3 linked regions of the Alligator mississippiensis genome follow. The protein of the gene in region 1 interacts with the protein of each later gene in a biochemical or structural test. Links are inferred from orthologs where the notes say so. Each region holds a gene or a part of one and is shown in the gene's direction. Other genes may lie near its edges.

The links.
Region 2: of the proteins of BTRC (region 1) and DEPTOR, one has a biochemical effect on the other in vitro, tested with the Homo sapiens proteins (3 studies listed by BioGRID, with this or other methods). The link is inferred for Alligator mississippiensis from reciprocal best matches to the Homo sapiens genes BTRC and DEPTOR.
Region 3: of the proteins of BTRC (region 1) and PSMD4, one has a biochemical effect on the other in vitro, tested with the Homo sapiens proteins (2 studies listed by BioGRID). The link is inferred for Alligator mississippiensis from reciprocal best matches to the Homo sapiens genes BTRC and PSMD4.

What each region holds. Positions count from the first base shown.
Region 1 is NC_081829.1:99,940,986-99,948,987, forward strand, and holds the start of BTRC (F-box/WD repeat-containing protein 1A), read left to right. Parts: upstream 1-4,987; 5' UTR 4,988-5,081; coding exon 5,082-5,129; intron 5,130-8,002. UniProt on the Homo sapiens protein: Substrate recognition component of a SCF (SKP1-CUL1-F-box protein) E3 ubiquitin-protein ligase complex which mediates the ubiquitination and subsequent proteasomal degradation of target proteins. Recognizes and binds to phosphorylated target proteins.
Region 2 is NC_081826.1:22,931,984-22,939,772, reverse strand, and holds the start of DEPTOR (DEP domain-containing mTOR-interacting protein), read left to right. Parts: upstream 1-4,785; 5' UTR 4,786-4,848; intron 4,849-4,958; 5' UTR 4,959-4,966; coding exon 4,967-5,052; intron 5,053-7,789. UniProt on the Homo sapiens protein: Negative regulator of the mTORC1 and mTORC2 complexes: inhibits the protein kinase activity of MTOR, thereby inactivating both complexes. DEPTOR inhibits mTORC1 and mTORC2 to induce autophagy.
Region 3 is NC_081838.1:20,037,041-20,044,008, reverse strand, and holds the start of PSMD4 (26S proteasome non-ATPase regulatory subunit 4), read left to right. Parts: upstream 1-3,964; 5' UTR 3,965-4,047; coding exon 4,048-4,073; intron 4,074-6,968. UniProt on the Homo sapiens protein: Component of the 26S proteasome, a multiprotein complex involved in the ATP-dependent degradation of ubiquitinated proteins.

The sequences.
Region 1 (8,002 bases):
CTCCTGGCACGGCGCGTCGCGTGTCTTGCCGTGCTCTGGACAGGAGGGGCAAGGTATCGTGTCTGCTTAGAAGAGCTGGGAGTGGAAATCTGGCCAGAGCAATCGTACTGCTAGACAGCCGTGGGATCAAGAGGCTGGACAGGCACTGGTGGGGGATGATCGAGGCATAGCAATGCCTGTATTCTATGATGGGAGCTTTGCAGGCTTACTGGGCTGTGCTGGTTGACTCCTATCCCCTTTCTGCTCCATGTGAGAGGAGGTTTTTAAGCCTCCCCAGAAGCACTGAGGGTTGGGGATGGGGATGGGCTAGTGCTGGGCCAATGCTCCTGCTGCGCCAACCCTGCAGGGTCCTGGTGGAGGGTCTTGCCCCCACGCTCAGCTCAGCCCCATGCTGCACTGGGGCAGGAAGGGATTTCCCCCCTGCTCAGACTGGTCCAGACTGGGGGGTTTTGCCTTCCCCTGCAGTGGGGACACGGCCTCGGCCTGGGGCATCTATTAACAACCTTTTATAGGAGCAGGATGCTGGTGGCCACAGTCCCCTTGCTTTCCACGTGGCAGGTTCAGGTGTGATGCCTGGTGCTGTGTCAGGGCTGGCAATAGTTTTATGTAGAGTTTAGATGATGGGTTTTTCTGGGCTGGTTTGCACAGGGCTGATCCTGCCTCAAGCAGGGGTTGGACTCGATCTGACCTCCGCAGGTCCTCTCCAGCCCTGCGGCTACAGGATTTCGAGGATGATTCTAGCAATCACGGGCAGCCAGGCTCTCGGTGACTCTCAGCCACATCACTTGTACCTACATTTGTTTCAAATTTGCCCTGCACTCATGTCCAGCCTCTTTGCGGTGTGAGCAGGCAGGGCAAAAAGGGATCGGTTCCTTCTCACCCCCCGACCCTCCATAGTTCTGGATCTCCATTTCGTGCACTGAGATCACTGCCTCTCGCCCAGTCGGGGTGGAGTTTGGATGCACAACACATTTACCTGCCTTTGGGCAAGATAAAGGGGCTCATGGGTACAAGACAAGCTGCTAACCTGGGGTAAGGGTCTCGAATCAGGTGTAGAGCTGCCCAGGGAAAAGTCAGCCGTCATGATACCCCGGTGTAAGTTGTACCGATGAAGTGCCGCATGTCCACAGCGATCCAGGGATATCCACGTGATGGAGCCTGTCACAGAGTCCCCTCCAAGGGGTAACTGCAGTCTTTGCAAGTGCACCTCAAAGCCAGCCCTGCTGTGTCTCCTAGAGCAAGTGGAGGAGCCCGGGCTCCTTCTGAAACCCTGGCCTTTTGGTCTCTCGTCTTTCCTGGTTTTCCTTGGAGCTGCATCCAGTTGTGCCCCGGGAGAGGCGCTTTACCCTCTCTTGCTGCGGAGAACAAGGGCTGCCCCAAGTCCCAAGCAGCAAACAGGCAGCTCTTGCTTTCAAAAGCTTGTTCATTTTATCCCAGCTCTCTCCCACAAAAATGCACACCTGCTTCAATTAGGGCCGAAGTCACGCAGCCAGAGGGTGTCTGCCCCCTCTTCGAAGGCTTACGCCATTCCTCTGTCCCCCGTCCAGTCTGCACAGCCCAGCTAACCATGAAGATCGCTCCACTATTCTCTTTCCAGGCCCAGAGCCCCCGAAGATCCTCTCCTGGTCTCCGATCCAGCCTCTCAGGCCAGGAGCTGACACCTTGTTCCCATTCTCCACCCCTTCCTATGCTGGTCTCGTCCACCTTCCCTCCAGCCCCCTGGCCATCTCACCTTTGCTGATCTGTCAACAAAGCTACTGAGGGCTGTGGCTGGCAGAGGTCCATCTGTCATCTCCTGCTTCCTTGTCTCTTTAGCCCATTCCTTCCCCATGTACGAGCTTGGTGGGGAAAATGAGGCACGCAACATCATTCATAACACCATAACGCAGAAAGATCCCAATAAAATCCGCAAGCCGTCACAGAGCCTCCCACATGTTACACCTGTACCTGAGCACTTGGCCTCGCCTTTTCCTTGTGCTCTCCCTTAGCTGTATTCACCTGTTGTCTCTTGCCTTGGACTGTAAGGTCCTTGGGGCAGGGCATGTCCTCTTGTGGGTTTGCTCAGTGCCAAGCAGAATGCAATCCTGGTCCCTTCCTAGGGTGCCCAGCCCCTGTAGGGATACACGTAACAGCCACTTTAATAACCCCGGTCTCCCTTTCAGGCCGAATAAAAGAGCTACCCCCTGGCAGCATGTGAGGTCAGGCACAATTTAAGCTTTGTAATTCCTTTCACTGGTCTGTGCTTGTTATAATCAGAAGAAGTTCAGCTCAGAGAAGTCACCGATAGATAAAGCAGCCTTAAGGGCTTTGGGGTAGCAGTGCGGGCTCCCGCAGCAGTACACTTTTCAATTTCCCTACAATTAAGCCGGCCTCAAATGTTATTGACAAATAAAGCACAAAAGCAAAACCACTGAACCTTTCCCGCTGCTACAGAAAGGTTCCACTTACCTCCCTGCCAGCTGCCGCACGCCTGGAGGGCTGAGACTTAGAGCCGTCAGAGCCCAAACTCTAGGGACTCCCAGCCTCTTGCAGCAGTGGAGAGTGGCTCCATTCTAATTACACTACTCCCTCATCCTAATTACTGTTATTTAGGTAATGCCGAAAGTGTAGGCAGTCTTGTCAACAGCCTGGGAAATACCCAGCGCGGTGACACGTCAGGCATGACAACCTGCTTTAAGCATCACCATCCAGCCTGCAAGACCGGGGGAGGGAAGGGACGGGCTGGCTGGCACGCAAGGTGTGACTGGCCTTTCGGAGCTGAAGGGAAGGCAGGAAGGAGAATGAAATGATCCAGGGGTGAGAGCACAGAGATGTGCAAGGGGACCTAGGGCAGAGGGGAAGCAGAGAGATAGAAGCAGAGGAAGAGTTGTGCTGACATGGAGCAACAGCCAGGGTTTCAATGTGACTTTTAGTTTGCAACGAATCCATGGACGCAATGCTTTCATTCCCAGCAAGCCAAACTAAACTACATTGAGGAGTTTTACTTTAATGCACAAGAAAGACTTTTAAAGCGTTGGGAAATCCCGCGCGTGCAAACAGACATGCAGTTGCTGCACATGAAAGGGCAAAAATTGTGGCATGTATAAGTCCCATATCTGTAGCTTCATCCATTTTACTGGGTATTTAGCACCACTGGTCCCCAACTGCAGGCACATTTGAGGTGGTATTACACCATCAGAGTTTGGGGGCAGGGGTTCTCATGGTGTGTACAGAGTCTAGCCCAGTCAGGTTCTGGCCCCTGAGTAACACATACTCACAAGGGTCTGCTAACACCCCCTCCCCATGTTCTGTGCAAACAAGACCTGATTTCCCAGTGAAGTCCGGTCCTTATTTAAATAATTAACAAGCGATTTCTCTTTGTTGATGAAGGGTGCTGGGGCACTTCAGGGTTAAGGCAAACTGAGTATGTGAATTCAGGAAGGGGGCTTCCCACAGCCTGCAGTTCTGGCCATGTCTCCCATGCCTCCTTCCTGATCTGCTTATGGGGGTTAGGGGGTTGGAAATGGATCTGGGGCTGGGACACATGGCTTGTGAGGAGAAGCTGAGGGAATTGGGATTATTTAGTCTGGAGAAGGGAAGATTGAAGGGGGATTGAATAGCAGCCTTCACCTCCCTGCAGGGGGGCTGCACAGAGGATGGAGCTGGGCTGGTCTCAGTGGGGGCAGATACAGGACAAGGAGCAATGGGCTCAAGCTGCAGCAAGGGAAGTTGAGGTTGGATATTAGGAAAATCTTTCTCAGAAAGAGGGTGGTGAAGCACTGGAACAGGTTACCCAGAGCGGTGGTGAAGTCTCCATCCTTGGAGGTGTTGAAGACCCGGCTAGACAAAGCCTTGTCTGGGATGATGTAGTTGGGGCTGGTCCTGCTTGGAGCAGGGGTTGGACTAGATGTGACCTCCCGAGGTCCCTTCTAGCTCTCACTGTCTGTGAGTCTATGAATATGTCAAGTGTATTCTTTCCTCAGTAATCCTCATGGTTTCCTTACTAATTTATAGGATTTTTATTTTAAATGGAAAGAATTGCAATGAACTCTTTAAACATAAACTGGCTGCTTTTCGTAGCTCACAAAAAGGCGACATTTGTAGTATACCTCAATTTTTTTATTTTTTTTTTTTTACAGCCAGCTCTTTTAGCTGCACTTGTTCTCGTGGCTTTTGTGTAAATATGTTTGCTGTGCTTGACATAAGACACTTGTAAAGGTTAAACTCGATCTGTTTGGCTAGGTGCAAAATGCTTATTTTTATCAAGGCCACGGATTTTTCAGGTTTTGTGCCCTAAGAAATATTTTTAAAATGAATATATATAAACATATTAATATATACAAATTAATATGTGCATATATATCTATTGACTCAGGGTTATCTATCTATGGGTGATAGAGTTATATCTAGATAGTTATATAGAGAGAGATATCTATCTATCTATCTATCTATCTATCTATCTATCTATCCTATACCCATAGATAGATAGATAGATAGATAGATAGATAGATAGATAGATAGATAGATAGATAGATATGGGAGATATCTATCTATCTCCCATATTTCTCTCTCTCTCTCTCTCTCTCTCTCTCTCTCTCTATATATATAATCGATATATGTCCCATATCTATATCAATATCAATATCAATATCTATCCCTTATATATATCTATATCTGTATCTCTAGCTGTATCTCTATCTCTTATATAAATGGGCTTCATGTAGCATTTGGCAGAATTAAACGCGAGCCCCGGGATGAGGAGCTGAGCCCTCTCCCCCTGCCCTTGCCTGTCCATCAGGCCCCTCAGAGCCCTTGCCAACTACAATTCCCGGGAGCCTCCGCGGGTTTCCCGACTGCGCATGAGCCCCGCGGCGGGGAGCCGGGCCGCGGCCGCGAGGGCTGTTGGGGGTTGTAGTCCCCTTCCCTCCCCGGGCCCTCGCCGCCGCCGCGGCCGGGGACTCCATGTCCCGGGGGCCTGCGCGCGGCGCATGCGCGCGGGGCGGGGGGGGCGGAAGAGAAGCGCAGGTTTCTGCCTGCGCTGGCTCCGGCCTGGCGCTGAGGGAGGGGGCGGCCCCGGCCCGGCCCGGCCCCGCGGCGGGACTATGGACCCGGCGGAGGCCGTGCTGCAGGAGAAGGCCCTCAAGTTCATGGTGAGGGGCGGGGAAGGGCTAAGAGCTCCCTGCGGGGCTGATGGGGGTGCCCCCCCCGGGCCTGCAGTGGGGTGGGGGCCCTAGGGGCAGGGAGTGGGGGAGGGGCGTGATGGGGTGCCCCACCCCCCGCAAGGCCTGAGGCAAGGGCCTGGAAGGGGCGTCTGGGGGGTCATGGGGTGCCCCCTACCAAGGCCTGAGGCAGGGGCAGTTGTGCGGGGTCCTCAGCGCAGTGGGGGTGGGGAAGGGGCATTATGGGGGTGCCTCCCTGCAGGGGGGGGGGGTTAAGGCAAGGGTATGGGTGGGCAATGGGGTGGGGGAGGGGCATTATATAGGGGTCCCCCCAAAAAAAGGGTGGGCAGTGTGTGTCCCCCCCCCAACAGGGCTGTGGGGGGTGGAGGAGGGGCATTTGGGGGTTCCCCCCCCAAGGGCTGATGCAGGAGTCTGGGAGGGTCTTCAGGGCAGTGGGGGAGGGGCCTGGGGGGTCCTCATGGTAATGCATGGGTGGGGGGAGGGGCATTATGGGGGTGCCCCCAGCATGGGCTGGGGGGGTACAAAGCAATGGGGGGGGGCTGCTGAGGCTAGGAGCTGGATGGGGGGTGTGGGGGGGTAGCTGGCTGGGGGGCTCTGGGGTGGGGATCCCCTCCATTGGTAGGATTTGGGGGCCACGAGCCTGCGGAAGAGGGACACGGTGCCCGGGGAGGGGGCACGCGCCGGGCAGAGACGTGTCGCGGGCACTCCAGCCTGCCCGGGCACCAGGGCCTGTGGGGGAGGCCGGTCCTGCCCCTGCCCCTGCTCTGCGGGGGGGTCCCGTGGGTGCGACCCCCCCGTCACAGCCCGTCTCCATCGCTTTTCCTCCCCACCCCCTTCTACCACCGGCTGGGGGCCGGCCTCTCTCGCTCTTTCCGCCCACCATATTTTCCTTTTCCTCGCTGCTTTTCAAAGAACGAGCCTGCCCGTTATCTTGGATCCTGAGCCAGACACTAGTTTTTGGGGGCGTCTGCCTCCGAGTCTGGTTTGTGTAGATTAGTGGTTTAGAGACACTGGTTTCAACTCTCGTTTCATTCGTCTTGACCACAGGTTTAATTCCAGATTGGGGGGTTTTTTGTGGTTGGTTTGGGCTGGAAAACAGTCGCATCAAGACATTTGCACAAACATCCACGCCACGTTAACTGACCGTTCATTTCAGGTGGGCTCAAGTCTTCTGCCTCCGAGGATGTCAGTCAGTTGACAGGCAGCGTTTGCTCCAAGTTTGTTCTGGATTAGTCCTTTCAGTGGCACAGATTTAAATCTCTTCCTCGGGAGCAAAAAAAAAAAAAGGGGAAAAAAAATCAGTTTAAACCCTCAGAATTTATGCCCCAGGTGGAACTAGCGAAACACTTGGTACAAATCTTGGTTTTCATTTGCACTTCAAAAGCGGTAGAAATTCTCAGCGTATAATGACCTCCATTTATTTTCTTGTACAATTGATAGCCCCTTGAAGCCTTCTCTCCTCCTGTTCAGACCATTGGACTCTTCTCTCAGCGCCCTTTATTTTTGTTAGATTTACAGGCTTTCAGGTGGTAGAGGTGGGAAACGTATGCGGTGCCTGAGTAGCTTTGGGAGTCAAAATTGCCTCCTTTCATCTATAATCGATCAGAAGTTTGCAAGAGATCCCGTTGCGTGTGGATCTGGCCAGGTTGGTCCACTCATTCGTGACTTAGGTTGGATCTGTCCAACTCGTTAGATCTCAGGTGTAACAAAGCCTCGCACCCTGGAAAGGGCCCAGCTGATAAGGCGTCCTGCTTCCTGGTATTGTAAACGCATCACACGGGTGCTCTGCGCTGGTCCCCATGGAATAAAGATTCCAGTCTGAGCTCTTCGTCCAGACATTCAGAGCCCTCCTTGAGATTGGCTTGTGCTCCCTGAGGCCCATCGGGCCTCCTGCCCTCCATCTGTGCCCCACAGACTGCAGAGAAACCAGAATTAAGTTGCTGGATTCGCTTTGAGTGTTAAGAGTGGCCAAGACACCCCGTGTACTGAGAAGTAAATGTCAAACGTGTCTCTTCTGAGTGCAGCTGTCACGCAGTAAGTTCTTCACATGCATACCTGCAGCCCACGTAGACAAGCACCCAAGCAAGAAAAAACTGTGGACAGCTCACATGTTGTCTTCTGCTAATTGGCAGAGGATGGAGCAGTACTTTTCTTTTTAATGCATTGTTGGCTTTTTCTCCCCAGCACTGAACTTGATAGGATCTGAGTGTCTCCCCAGTAATTAGACAGGCAAAGCTGAGCTTCACGGCGTCTTTTGCTTTTCTCCCTTCCATGGTTAGAGAGGTTCTGCATCAGTTAGGATGGGGTGGACGAGAGAAAGTTTTCTTAACCTGAACCAGGTTGTGGGGGGGAAATCCACTGGGTGTTGTCTTGATATTTAAATAGTTGGAGTTGCTTAGATGCCATAGTGAGGAGAGCCACGTAAGTACAGGCGTAGATCTGGAAAAGACGGATTAGATGCGTTTCAGTCCATGCTGACTCATCCACAGTACATTTTCCTGTCAGTCCAAGTGGATGACAAATTTGGCATACCTTGATTCTTACTAAGTGGGTCAAAGCATGGCTCACTTCAGTCCAATCTATTCATTATTGATTTGCACAGCATCTTTTCACAAGTGTCAAGGTGCCTTCCTTATTTAAATATTGAAACACTCTTTGAAAAGACCAGACTCATTATTTCTCCGGGCCCCAGTACAATATTTACAATTTGGCTCCGGATTCACACAACAAACAATAAGGGCTGGAAGCAGCCTTGTAGGTGGTGATATTTTTGTTCTTGTCTGTATGATTATTTTTCATTTAAAAAATGCTTGCCTGGTCCCTGGCAATGATTTTGGAGCAGT
Region 2 (7,789 bases), on another chromosome or scaffold:
GTGCAAATAAAAGTATTTTCTATCTTTAGGTGGGCTGGAATCACCAAAACATATCAATAATAATTTGTTTCTATGTTGTTGAGAGCACTTTATAATAATCTATGGACATGGAATCATAAAATCATAGAAAATTAGGATTGGAAGGGACCTCAAGAGATCATCTAGTCCAACCCACCGCTCAAAGCAGGACCAGCCCCAACTAGATCATCCCAGCAAAGGCTTCTTCTAGCCAGGTCTTAATAACCTCCAAGGATGGAGAGTTCACAACCTCTCTAGGTAACCTGTTTCAGTGCTTTACTTCTCTCTTAATGAGAAAGATTGTCCTAATATCTATCCTAAACTTCCCTTGCTGCAACTTGAGACCATTGTTCCTTGTTCTGTCATCTGCCACCACTGAGAACAGTCCAGCTCCACCCTCTTTCGAACTCCCCTTCAGGTAGTTGAAACCTGCTATTAAAGCCCCCATCAGTCTTCTCTTTTCCAAACTAAATAAGCCCAGTTCCCCCAGCCTCTCCTCAGAAGTCATGTCCTCCAGCCCCCTCACCATTTTTGTTGCTCTCCCTTGGATTGTCTCCAATTTGTCCACATCCTTTCTGTAGTGGGGGGGGAGGGCACAAAACTGGACAGTACTCCACATGTGGCCTCACAAGTGCCAGAGGGAATGAATCATTGCCCTCAATCTGCTGGCAATGCTCCTACCAATGCAGCCCAGTATGCCATTAGCCTTCTTTGCAACAAGGGCACACTGCTGGCTCATATTCAGCTTACTGTGCACTGTAACCCCAGGTCCTTTTCCGCAGAGCTGCTGCCCAGCCAGTTGGTCCCCAGCCTGTACTGGCACATGGGATTGTTCCCTCCTAAGTGCAGGACTTTGCACTTGTCCTTACTGAGCCTCATGAGATTTCTTTTGGTCCAATCCTCCAATTTGTCAAGGCCTCTCTGAATCCTAGTCCTTCCCTTCAGTGTAGCTACTACTCCCCTCAGCTTGGTATCATCTGCAAACTTGCTGAGTGTATAATCCATCCCATCTTCCAGGTCGTTGATGAAAATATTGAACAAAACCGGCTCTAAGACTGAACTCTGGAGCGCTCTACTTGATAACAGCTGCCAACAACATATTGAGCCATTGATTACTACCCTTTGAGCTTGATGATCCAGCCAGTTTTCTATTCACCTTACAGTCCAGTCATCCAACCTGTATGACTCGCACATGAACTTGAATCACAAACAAAAGCCACTGGTGAATATTATTCTACTAGAACTTTTGTTCCTAGCAGTTCTAAGAGTTATTGAATTCTCTTTGTAATGCTGGCCCAAATACATGAAAAAATTTACTTTGTGCAAAAGACCATATATTGCTGGCAACTGTAACAATGTGTTTTCTTGTAGTATTGAGCCACTAGAAGTCTGTGCATTAAGGTGAATTCAAGATGGGATGTGGTCCATGGTAAAGAAGGGTGACAAAACTGAAAATCTAGCTTATATCTGTAGCTTGTAGCTTTCTTTAAAGAATGTTTTTTTGAGACAGAGCTGTGATTCTCTGTATCATGACAACAGCTGCTTGACTGGCATCCTACTAAGATGGTTGCAGCTGTTCTTCAAGCTGATGGTGCCTATCCAGGTTGAACATTGTAACTTGTAGTGAAATAAACAGAATTACACATATTTGAACTACCATTCAAAATCCTCAAATACTCTAAGATATTTGGTAAGCTGTTTGTTGACAGCAACTCTGTTGCTGTTCTTGATCCTCTGGATGTGGGAGATCATTATATGCATGGGGTGAGTGTGAAGACGTAAATTAAAAAAGCGAATGGGAAAAAAATGAAATGCGAGATGCTGGTTTGGAGGTGGCAAGGACAAGTAATTTAAACTAGTTATGCAAGTTGGAAAGATTGGAATCAACACTGATAAATGGACAAGGAAGACAACTGGTGGATGCATTTTGGAAGTGCTAGTAATCAAGAGAGTAAGCAAGCCATGGACTGGTGTATTCTATTGTGGTTTTTGAAATGTTAAAAAATGATAATACTCACAATTACTTAAAAATCTCCATAATTATGATTTTGCATGATTTGTTACTAATTACTAAGCCACATGCTTAATTAGAAATACATAAGTATAAGTCTAGAATAGGTAGTATTAAGTTTCTATAATGCTTACCAGGCTAATGATGCGTAAGAACGTAAGAAGTAGAATAGATGAATTTCATATCTAACTTTGCATAATCAGCACAAATTCCAGTTGTCTGCCACAGACAAGTTTCTAAGAATCAGAAACTTAATATATGCTATTTTTCTCTGTCTGAAAATTTTCTAATATTTCCTGAGGCTTATCACACCTCTAAAGCAGCTTGGCTAGAAACCTGATGTATTTTAAATCACACTGTCAGAGATAAATTATGTTGTTTTAATAAAGTTATAAAGGAACAAATGAACAGCAAAGCATATAAGCTGTGCATTTGCCGTGTATGGGAAATAGCTTGAAAAAAGGAGGGAAAACTTTACAATATGTGGTAATTTCTCAGCCCTCCCTAGCTAGAGGCCTGCTGTTGAGACATATGTAAATGACTGCACTCTTTGCAAATAAGTCTGTGCATATACACAAGAATATGTTTTATGTTAGTGCTACAGGACAGACAATGCACAGCCAGCTAACGTGCCAACAGATCTGATGCATGTTTGTTTCCCTTAAGAAAGAAGGAACCAGATGTTTCAAAGTATGAGTTGCTTGTGATGCTTCCAATGTAAAAGAGTAAAGAAAAATGTTTTAACATTTCCTAGCCCAGTTTATCTGCTGCTACCTCTTATCCTCAAAGTACACTGCCATCCCTTCCATGAGCTGCCCTAATAATTTGTTCTGTCATTTGCCTATTTATGGAGCTCTGGCCATCTAATCAGGAAACTATTTAAAACAATGGCCAACTCCAAAGCTGGAATGACAAACACTCACATGAATAGTTGTAACCATCACTTTGTAAGAAATCACAGGCAAGCATGTTTAAAAAACAAAGCCCAACACCATGTTTTAATGGAACAGTAGAATACTAGGTTTCTTACTAGTTAGTCCATGACCAGACAAGAGAGCTATACTTTTCAGATGTGTAGGTTGTAGCCGTGTTGGTCTAAGGACATAGGCAGACAAGGTTCTTTGGGTGAATCTGATTCACCCAGAGAATACCCAATTACCGGTGGGGGTACATTTCTCACAAGAAAACCACTCTCTCCAACCTCTCGGTTCTAATCCTCAAAGGGAACTTACAAAACACTTCTCAGAGACGAGTCTATGAGCTTCACTTCATCAACCTCCTGGATGCAAAAAACATTGGACTAAATATAGACATTGGACTTATGACACACTATAACCTGCCTGACATCTGACTCCCCAGCTACCTCCCACTATTTAACTGCTACATTCATCCCCCTTCTCCCCCCAACCCAGCCTGTCTCTCACCCACAGACTCCTCAATTTAAATCTTCACTGACTGCATGCGGACCAGCCCAGCCTCTGGCTTCTTTACTATTCATTCCATCCAGGAAGAGCACACACCAACTGCAGAGACTTCCTCACCTTGACGAAGGGTTTTTAAACCCAAAAGCTTGCTAAATTTTTTTTTCCAACTATATAAGTTGGTCTAATAAAAGATATCACATTTACCCAAAGAACCTTGTAATATACCATTCAGATCGCATTTCTGATACAAACAGTCTGCAGACCTCCATCTGTTCCATAAGTGCCCTGAAACTCATCTTAGTTATTCTAAATATTCCCCAAGGCTGTGATTTTGTGTGTCCACTCATGTCAAGCCAAGCCAAGCCAAGCCCCTAGGGTTGATGATGGAGGGACAAAGCCAAGCACTGCCTACCAGTCCCTGAGTCACCTCCCGAAGGAGGGCAGCTAAGATCTTCTCTCCATGTCCCAATTCTCTACTAGATGTTCTGAGTTACTTGTCCATGGGTGAGGGCTATTTTCTTAATTCCACTCACATTCATCTCTTGCAATATGTACCATTAGAGGGTAACGGGAATTCTACACATCTGTAGACAAGGTTCTTTGGGTGAATCTGATATCTGTAGTGTATTTGTGTTTTTATTGTATTTATTTCGAGGTCTGCGCTCTAACATGACATGTCCAGCACTGTCCCACAGATTCTCCCTTGAAAAACTACCATTGCTGACCAGTGACACATTGGAGATTGGGTAGTACACAAAAAAAGACACATACATCATCCTGGACAGTGAATACTGGACAGGAACGGGGTGTCCTCGGTTATTTTTTCAAACAGACATCCATCACCCAAAGCTGTCTCCAATGTAGACAGGCCCCGTCACTTGGACTAAGGAACATTCCCTTGGAACGTGTCCTGGCTGGAATAAAATACACTTACAGATGGCGGGGCTTGCTGGTGCTGGATACAGCCAGCCAGCCTCGCTCGCTCGCTGCGGCCTCCAAGCCTATGACTGTGAAAAGGGAAGGAGCCCAGGCGGTGGCCTGCCATGTTCGCTCCCCCGGGGCGGGCGGGAATGGAGCTGGAGGTCATCAGGCTACTAAAGAGCGTTCCCATGAACTATGTACGGAGTATTTTCCTGTCCCTTTTCACTGGGGAAGTCCCCTCCCAAGGGACAGCCACAGGGGGTGGGGTGGGGGAGCTGCCCCATGGACCGGGAGGGCCAGGAGCGGCTTCCCAGACAGCCCCGTAACACAGAGCAATAATCTTTCTTTTTTGTGAGTCGGTTTTTACGTGCCCGGGACGCAGCATAACTTAAACGAGAAGCCCCGAGCGGGTGTTGCTCCCAGGCGCGGGGCGGGCGAGAAGCGTGCGGGGAAGGGGCGCGCGAGGACCTGCAGGTGAGGGGCGGCGGCCCCGGGAGCGCGGGCTGCCCCCACCCCGGGCTGGGCTGGGCGGGGCGGGGGCTGCGCCGCTGCTGAGCTCCGTGTCTCCTGTCACTTCGCCCCAGGCCCGGCCATGGAGGCGGCGGTGGGCAGCCTGCAGCAGAAGGCGGCCGAGCTGGAGCACATGGCCGAGGTGCTGCTGACCGGGGAGCAGCTGCGGTAGGAGACGGAGGGAGGGAGGGGAGGGGAGGGGAGGGACGGGGGAGCCCCGCGCTGCGGGGCGGCGGCAGGCGGGGGAGGTCCGGGCCGCCCGGGCGCATCCCGGCCGCGGGCTCGTGCCGGGCTGGGGGCAGCGGGGACCCTGCCGGCCGGCCGGAGGGCGGGCGGGCGGCTGTCACGGAGCCCTCTCTGCTCTGCCCCCTGTCCTGGGCTGGAGAGCAAGGAGGGGTTTCCCTGTGCCGTGCCCATGGGGAAGGCTTGTCCCGGTCTGCCAGCTCTTTGCTTTGCAGTTTGAGGAAGGGGCGACAGGGAGAAATTAAAAAAAAAAAAAAAGTCTTGAAGGAGTTGGCTAAATGATGCTGCTGGACTGCGGTATCCACCCGGGCTGCTGCAGTCCGGAGGCAGCTTGCTCTGCTCTGTTACTGAGGTGCTTGTCCTTTGGCCATTGTATGGTAGCTGGTCTGTGGAGGGAGGCACAAGGCAGGCAGGGGGGCACCTGAGACACTCACCGCTTCAGAGAGGCACCAGCACATCTTCCAGGCGCTGCAGCCAACCCCATCATGGTGAGATGCGATGAATGGGCTTGCAGGGAGATAGAGAGCAGTCATTTGAACACAAAGGGTGGGAAAGGGAGAGGAGAGGAGAGGAAAGGAAAGGAGGGAGTGCTGCTGCGGAAACAAAGGTGGGTTGAGACGATGTGGTGGTCTCAGGACTTTGGAGAAATGGAGAGAATTTGAAAAGGCAAAACAAAAAAAAAAGAGCAATATTTAAAAATACTGCTTTAGCTAGAATAGGAGCAATACGGTCTAAGAAATCTACATGAAGATCTAGGTTTTCTTCCATCGCTTGGAATAATATGGAACCACAGAGTCTGTAAAGGTCTTTTTTATGATAGAAGATTTTTATCTTGAATCAGCTGATCCCAACTTCCCCATCCCCGCCAAAATAATTCACAGTGCTGTGACTCAGATTGTACATGGCAGAGAAACTGTTAAAAAAATTGCATGAGTCAGACAGTTAATTTTTAATTTCTGGTGCTGTATTGAAAGCATGCTGTGCCCATGCATTATGAACAGCAATAAAGAAGAAAAATTTTAAGCTTTCATTTTCCAACTGCTTACATAACTTGTTGCAATGAAGAAAAAGAGAATGCATGGTATGGGTATAAGCAGAATGGGGTGGGAGGACTATTTTGCCAGCAGTTTCTTAAATTGTTTTCAGCAAATATCGGCTAATTATTTTTAAATGCTGGGTTATTGCTGGCTTCCGTTTCTCATCTTGAAAGAGTTCCTTGATCTGGGAGCCACTAATGTGAGACCCCTAGTCTCTTGCTTTCATTGCAGTGGAAATTGGCTATTTAAAGAGTAACACAAAATCATGATTAAGATTTGCTTATATTTTAAGTTATTATATGTCCCGGGCAGTTAAAAAATACTCAAAAAATGGAAAGATTAGGGCTCTTTTTCAGTCTTCAAATGTTTTATGGTGCTGGTTCAGAAAACATTTTCATAGCTTAGTAGCAGCTCCCTGATGTTCAATGAAATTCTCGACTGGTGTAAGTCAGGGCCCTGCTACACATTCAATTTAAAGCTGGATAGAAACCTTTTATAGAGCTGTTACACATTTCCAAGCACTAACTTTGTAGCTGGTTGCCTCTTTTTATAGCTGGATTTTACAGCTTTTATCTTTTTATAGCTGGATTTTATCACATGATTTGTATCGTGATAAAATTGCTTTGTACGTGTGGCTGGTCTAAATTTCTTGTGCAATGAACCAGGTAATTGAGTGATAATTACTTTGCACATGTGGCCAGTATTACTTTGATGTGTGGCTAGTCTAAATTTATTGAACGATTAACCAGTTAATTGTGTAATATATGTAATACACAGCAGGGACCTCAATGTAGTGTAGATGAAGATTTGACATGCAGTTTTAGGTTTCCTATCCTAAACTGGTACGCATATTTTTTTTCTTGGGAGTTGGTTTAGGGACCTATTTTTAAGTGTTGAGGCACCTGAAGTTGAAGTTAGGTGATGGGAACTGGGTGCCCTGGCACCCCTTAAAATCCCACTAGGTCCTTGCCTGCAGTTTAATCATAAATGTTTTTTAAAAATTGGCTTGTCACTGTTCCAGTAAAAGATGAAGGTTGTAAATGTTGCTACTTGGGGTAGCAGTATGCTGCTTATTTGACAATGGCACCATTGGTGTACATGGTATTTTGACAGAAACAAAAAATCATGACTGTCTCTGTCCTAAGAAGTCAATCAAGATCTATAAATCCACCCTTTTAAATCTAATGACAAAAGCCTAACCTAGGTTTCCTTTTTATTTTGCCCTCTCTGATGTTAACACTCATATCTTACTACATTTTCCAGATCAGATCTGTCAGACTGGCATCCTGTGGGACTCATGCGGCCTATGTGGTGCCAACATGTAGCCCATGGGCTATATGCAGCCTACAAGCATTTAAGTTGTGGCCTGCAGGCCCCAGCAGCAGCCTCTCATGCTGCCCTGCATCAAGGGAGGGCCTAGGTCCTGTGCGCTGCCTGCACAGTGCACACAGCAGGGGTCTACATGCCACCAGTGCAGCCCAGGCAACGGGGGGGCCTCATGCTGCCAGTGAAACCTGTGCGGGGAGGAGCAGGGGGGCCACGTGCTGCTTGCAGGGGATGGGTAGCCACCAGCTGCCAATGTAGCCATGCAGTGGGAACGATTCTGGGGGAGCTGCCCCCTGAAG
Region 3 (6,968 bases), on another chromosome or scaffold:
GCTGTCTCATGCAGAGGCAGAGACTAGATGCTAGAAGGGAGACTGAACTGGGTATGACCAGGAATTTCTCCTGTTACTCTGTCATTTGCAGCCTCCAGCCCTTGGGGTCTAGGAAGTTTTGCTCCTCACTCTAATGCTAAGTAGCTACTGATGCCCCTTTCCTCCAAGCACGTGTCCAATCCCTTTGTGAATCTGGCTAGACTCTCAACTTCCCCCACATCTGGTGGCAACAAGCCCCGTGCTTTAATTCCCCGTTGTGTGACAAACAACTTCCATGTGTCTGCTTTAAACTTGCGACCTACTAGCTTCATGTTGTGACCCCTTGTTCTTGTATGAAGAGGGATGGTCAATAACTAATCCCTATTGACTCTTTCTTCACTGTTTAGTATTTTGTAAAACCTTCTCCTGTCTCCTCTCAAGCATCTCTTTTCTGAACTGACTTAGCCTGGCCTCTGCACTCTCTCCTCATATGGAAGCCCCTCCATAGCACTCATCATCCTTGCTGTCCTTCTTTGGACTTTCTCTAGTTCTCCTATATCCTTTTTGGGGGTGTGGGGGACCAGAACTGGACACAAGACTCAAGGTGTGGATGCCCCATGGGTTTATAAAGGGGTATCATGATACTTTCAGTTTGGTTTACAATTCCCTTAATCATCCCTCAAGTGTCATTTGCCTTTTTGATGCTTGCTGAGCACTGAGCTGATGTGTTTAGTGAGCTGTCCACAATGACTCCCAGATCTGATCAGAAAGCTGATGGATTTTCTTGAAGTCCCTTCCAGCCCTGTAGTTTCCGTGAGTTTATGAACATCTCCATTTACATCTGAGATGCATACATTGGTTTATAAGGTGCAAATCTACCCTGGCTTCAGACTAACATGGCTACCTACCTGTGACAGCAGATGGAGGCCTTACCTGAGCTCAGGGCTTCTTTGTGCCAGGTGCTGTACGCATGCACACACATCATCCCTGCCTCAAGAACCTAAATAGGTTCATGAAAAGGGAATTGGTGCGCACACACACGCTCACCCAGCTGCCAATGGCAGAGTTGGGGTGAGAGCCCAGGGCTCCTCATCCTGTTTCCTGTGTCCTGTCCAGTGGACTGCACTGTCTCCCATCTCCAAATCCTTGAAGGCAGCCGAGTAATGAAGCTCCTTAATCTCCCAGCAGATTTCCACCACCTGGTTGTGCAGGCTGGTAGAGATGTCATCAGGAGGGACCCCCAGGTACTATGTGGGATAGCCATGAATCTTGGAGTTTACTGTCCCCCTGCCCTTCCAAGTGCTTCTCCGGCAAAACCCACCCAGAGCTGATGGCACAGTGACCCCTGGCGGCTGGCTACAGTCAGGACACATTTTCTTCCCAGCCTCCTACTGAAACAAAGACTGCCGCTGGCTAAGGACAGAAGTTATACATAAACCAGTTTCAAAATAACTGAAACGAGTTTGATATAAACCTGGTTGAATGTAGTATCAGACTTACCTGATTTAGGTCAAACTGGTTTATAGATTCATAGACATTAGGGCTGGAAGGGATCTTGGAAGATCATTGAGTCCAGCCCCTGCCCCAGGGGCAGGAAGTCAGCAGGGATCACAGGATCCCAGCAAAATTAACATCCAAATGTCTCTTGAAGGCATTCAAAGTAGGTACTTGAACCACCTTCGACGGCAGGCTATTCCAAACCTTGGGGGCTCAGATAGTAAAGTTCTTCATTATGTCCAGCCTGAAACGGTCATGTAGGAGTTCGAGACCGTTCGATCTTGTCATCCCTTGGGGCGCTCTGGTGAACAGACGGTCCCCCAGATCCTGGTGAGCACCCCTGATAAATGTGTAGGTGGCCACCAGATCATCCCTGAGCCTGCACTTTTCCAGGCCGAAAAGTCCCATGGCTTTCAGCCTTTCATCATAAGCTGTTTTCCCAACCTTTGATCATGTGCATCTCTCCTCTGCACCCTCTCAACCTTCTCCACATCCTTTTTGAATTGTGGAGCCCAAAACTGGATGCAGTACTCCAGCTGCGGCCTCACCAAAGCCAAGTACAAGGGGAGAATGATGTCCTGGGATTTGCTTAAGAAACATTTATGGATGCAAGCCAGTGTCCTGCTCCCTTTACTAGCTGCAGCATCACGTTGATGGCTTATGTTCATCTTGTAGTCAATCAGGATGTGGTGCTGCCACCAGTTTTGGCTGGCACAGTGGGCCTAGAGAAGGCAGGGCTGGAAGCCGAGGCAGGTGATAGCAGCCCCGGTGGTGGCTGCATGGAGCTACTCACTGGCATCCATGAATCTATGACTCTTCTGTCCCAGACCCCTGTGATGCAGTGGTTTTCAGCCTTAGACTCAAGACTCCCCTCTGACTCAGAGCCCCCATCAGAAAATCCCAGCTCTTTGTTTTCACTCTCTTGCTTGACTATGAAAAAATACTAGGGCAATTCTTCTGTTGCAAAAAACTCTGCAAACCCCAGCTGAGCTGGATGCTTCTTTCACTCGGGAGTCCTATTTGCAGTCTCTGGGTTTATCCTATGCATCAGGTGTAGGTGTTTGCATGATGCTACTAATATTTCATGACACCCTTAAGGATCTCACAGCACCCCTGGGTGCTGTGTTGGTCCAACATCTAGGGTTGGGGAGCCAGTGGGTTGTTGAAAGAACACTTGAGAGAGGTTTCCACTCCACTCATGTAGATTTATTCAGCAGACAGCACACACTTCCTTGCACTAGTTGCCTTGCAAGCGAGTCTTGTTCCCTATCCTGCCAAGCAGAGGTTTCACCGGGGCATTCAGGGGCATAGTCTAGTAGTCCAAAAACCCTTGTCATTGGACCTCACCCTTGATGCAAAGAAGGTTAACAGCATACTGGGCTGCATGAGTAGGAGCATTACCAGCAGATGGAGGGAAGTGATTGTTCCACTTCATTCAGTGCCGGTGCAGCCACATCTGGAGTCCTGTGTCTGGTTTTAGCCCCAGGCCCCTGGAATATTAAAATAAAAGCTTTTAATTTAACTGAAGAAAGAGATGTGTCACGTTCTATGGGCTAAGTCATCTCACTGTCTGCAGCCCCCTTTCCAACATCCTAGATCTGCCCGTGACCTCATCCAACCTGACTCTTCCTTGGTAGCAGAGCGATGCCCCCAAACGCCCACGGCGTCGTTTCTCCACAACCTCAAAGGGAGGGGACCTGTGCTGGCCTGTCTAGTGTGGGAGACATCGGCTGCCGGGAACCCCTGGAGCCCTGCCCCATAGATAATGGAGCTGAGGCCACAGGCTATCATCATCACCATAGGATCCTAGAGCAGTGTGGGGCTGGAAGGGAGCTTCAGAGGTCACGTCTAGTCCAACCCCTGCCCGAGGCTGGATCAGCCCTGTCCAAGCCATCTGAGACAAACCCATCTAAACCAGGGGTGGGCAAAATGGTGGATCTGGCCAGCAGCCGGCCTGCATTTCCCAGCAGCCCCAGCCTATGTGGCTGTGGCCAGTTCCCATAGAGACCCCAAGAACAGTGGCATCATGACAGCAGGGGGCCAGGGTTTCCACGGAGACCAGCCCCAGCAGCGCTGGCAGGGCAGGTGGCTGGGCGGGGAGCTTTTCTGCAGCCAGCACCTGAGCCTCTGAGGGAGGCCTGAAACCCCCTGCCACGTGGAGCAGAAAGGGGAAGGGGGACAGCACACCCCAGAGGCCAGGGATGTCCCCACAGCAACCGTTCCCAAACTGCAGGTCGTGACCCCAAATGGGGATGGTGACATCAGTGGGGCCCGTCTGGAGGAAATGGGGCCATAACCGTGGTTACCCTGAGGAGGAGTTTGGGAAGCACCAACCGGCCCCTGGGTCCCTGCCTGCAAACCCCCAGCCATGGAGGCCCCTGGGTTCCCGCCTGGCCCCGCCCCTCTGGCCCCGCCCCCTGTCTGGAGGCGGTGCGCGAACTACACCTCTCAGCGGCCCCCGCGGCCCCACCCCGCAAGAAGGGCGGAGCGGATTGGCTGGCGGCCCCGAGCCACTGCGCGCGCGCAGTGCAGCCTGGGCCCCGGCCCGGCTCGGCTGAGGAAGGAGGCAAGATGGTGCTAGAGAGCACGATGGTCTGGTGAGCGCCGGGCAGGGCCGGGGGCCGGGCCGGGTAGGGCTGGGCAGAGCAAGCCTGGGGCCGGGGCTAGGGGCCGCACTGCGCTCCTGGGGAGGGCTGGGCCGGGTTGGGGACGCGGGGCTGGTTTCCCTGAGTCATGGCGGGCCGGGCCGGGCCGGGCCGGGCTGGGGGAGGGGCAGGGGCAGTGATGGGGGTAACGTGGGGGTCAGTGACGGAAGAAGCGGTGACGTGAGAGGGGTCGGTGATGTGTGGGGTCAGTTATGGGGGAGGGGTGACGTGGCAGGGGCCCGGGGGGGGGTAGGTGAAGGGGGGCAGCAGGGCCCGGGCTGGGACCCCCGGGGGGCTGCAGCCTGCGGGCAGGGCCGTACTGCTCTCTCGCGCAGGCCTGGGAGCAGCAGGGAGGTGGCCGGGGGTAGGAGCGGGGTCGCTGGGCACTGAGCCGGGCTCTTCTCTGCTTACTTGCCCCCGGCTGCTCCGAGCCCGGTCCCTGCCTGCCTCCCTCCCCTGCCCTGCGCGGCCGGGCTGCCCCCCGGCCCCCCGTGACCTGCCGCACAAGCAGCGGGTGGGGCTGGGTCACGGGATAGGAGGCGCCATGCCGCGCCCCTTCTTCCCACGCCTCCTGCGACTGGTGCGCGGAAGTGGGTTAACATCCAAGGCACCTGGGATCTGTTGGGACTGGCCTGGTGCCTGGTGTCGGCTGCGAGTACGGCAGCGGTGTCTTGTGCCCCTGTGTCGCCAAACACCCTCACCAAGACTGAACCTGGGGTTTGTAATCTCCCTTTCAGGCAGAGTCAGACCTGATGATGGGGTTTGGGAAGCCAAGGGGGTGAGGGTGCGTTGGTGCTGGCATCGCGCCTTGGGCCGCACCAGAGGAGGCAGCGGGGGCTCAGGGCTGGCTGTCCCCTGAGTGCTGCCCTGTGGTGTTTGTAGGGAAGGATGATGATGGCCCCTACAGCCCTCGTCTCCCTCCTGCTTCCCCGACAGTAATGCTGGGCCCTGGGCACGCACCGGGGCTGCTGTCAGACATGCCCCTTCTCCTTGCTTTTCCCTACCTAGGCCCACACACTTTCACTAACATCTTGAGGCTCATCTTCGCCTTACAATCGTCTACTTTCACTCACATGGTATTTTTTCTTCCACAGCTTTGGTATACAAGATACCCCTTTAAATACTCCTTTTCAGGGGAGTTGGGGACATGCCTTACATACCAGAAAATACGATAGCGAGGACCATAGTAGCTACTAGCCCTCCAACCTCTTCATGGCTGCAGTTCTAGTGACTGCGTCAACAGTGGAGCAGGCTCACAAAACATGAAGTTGCTGTTGTTTGTACTACTCGGGGGCTCTCCATTCAGTCGGAGAGAGGGGGCACAGTTGCTTAATTCAGTGAATAACCAGTTCAGACCCAGGAAAGGGCTAGCATCAGGTTTAAGTGGCATATTAAAAAAAGTTCCTTCCTACTTGCTGCAGGTAACACTTGGGTTATCGATACCCACCGACTCTAGACACATTCCCTGTTGTTTGTGTCTGTCTGGAAAGGTCCTGACAGCGCCATGTGCTGCCCAGAGCAGTGGCGTGAGTCCTTGGGACACCTGGGTTCTGTTCCCAGCTCTGACCTTTTCCATGTCGTGTCTCTGCTTCTGTTTCTCGATCTGTGGCACGGGCCACCTGAGCCGCCACCCCCCACCCCGGCCACACACTACTATGGACTCCCTCTCATTGCAGGTACCTCCTGTGTTGCACTGCACCACACTACGTGCTCCTATTCACCCCCACCAAGCTGCAGTGCTGTCCCTGGGACTCCCAGCCACAGGTTCCCTCATCCCAGTGGGCTGCTGTGCCCGTCCTGAGGGATAGGGGTAGGCAAGGGAAGCAGGAGGAGAGTGGGGGAGCCCAGAGACTCCAGCAGTAGCAGGAAAGCAGTGGGCAAGAAATGTGCTCAGCCTGGGACCTCCTGGGGCTGCAGCTTAACCCCTAGGAGCAGGATGCGGCCCATGGGCCGTGAGTTGCACAGCCCTGACGTGCAATGAAACTGATCTCTGCTATAAAGCTCGCTGAGCTCTGCAGATGAGAAGCTCTAGGTGGTGGTGTTAGCTGGGATGCCCCTGGCTAGTGTTTCCTTCTGGTCCTTGCCCAGCCCGAAGCCTAGGCACATGGGGACAATCACAGCAGAGGGGCGGTTGTTTAAAGGACACGTTCCCTGGCATTAACTCTAAAAATACATTGCAACTGCCACTTTCCAGAGCTGTCATTTGGGGCTGAAATAAACTCTGAGGTCCTTTCTCTAAACATTTCTTTCCCTCCACTCTCTTAGGTCACTCTTTAGAGCTGGTGTAACTGAAAGGGCTGCTTCCACCCACTCTGTGCTGTGGACACAAACAACCCAGCAGCACTGTGGGGTGCACAGGTCATTTGTTGCCTTGTGCGGTTGCTGTTGAGTCTGAAGTTAGCATCTAAGGTTTCTCACAGTGGATTGTAATTATCGCTGCCTGGTGCAGTGCATATCTGCTGCATCAGGGCAGCGCGGTCACAGTCTCCTGCTGTCTGAACCAGCGCTCTTGGTTATACCCATGCTTGCTTTTGGCTTGGAACCGGTGTCAGGAACTGGGCAGGGTGCAGAGTAGGTTAGACAAGAGCTGGGTGTCATGAGTCCTGGGTTTTGGTCCCTGTTGTGTCACTGGCTAGTCATCCCAGGGTTATAAACTTTCTTATGGGGGTGCTGGGAGAGTGCACATCTGCAAAGGTCTCTGGCCCTCCTCCCCTGGCTTGAACATCTTGCCACATGCTTTGTATTGCTCTGTTATGATTTTGTAGCGGAGACTTTTTGCCCTCAGCAGCATGAGGCACAGCCAGACATCTGACTTGAGAGGTAGCTGCGTTTGGGGTCGCAGAATCA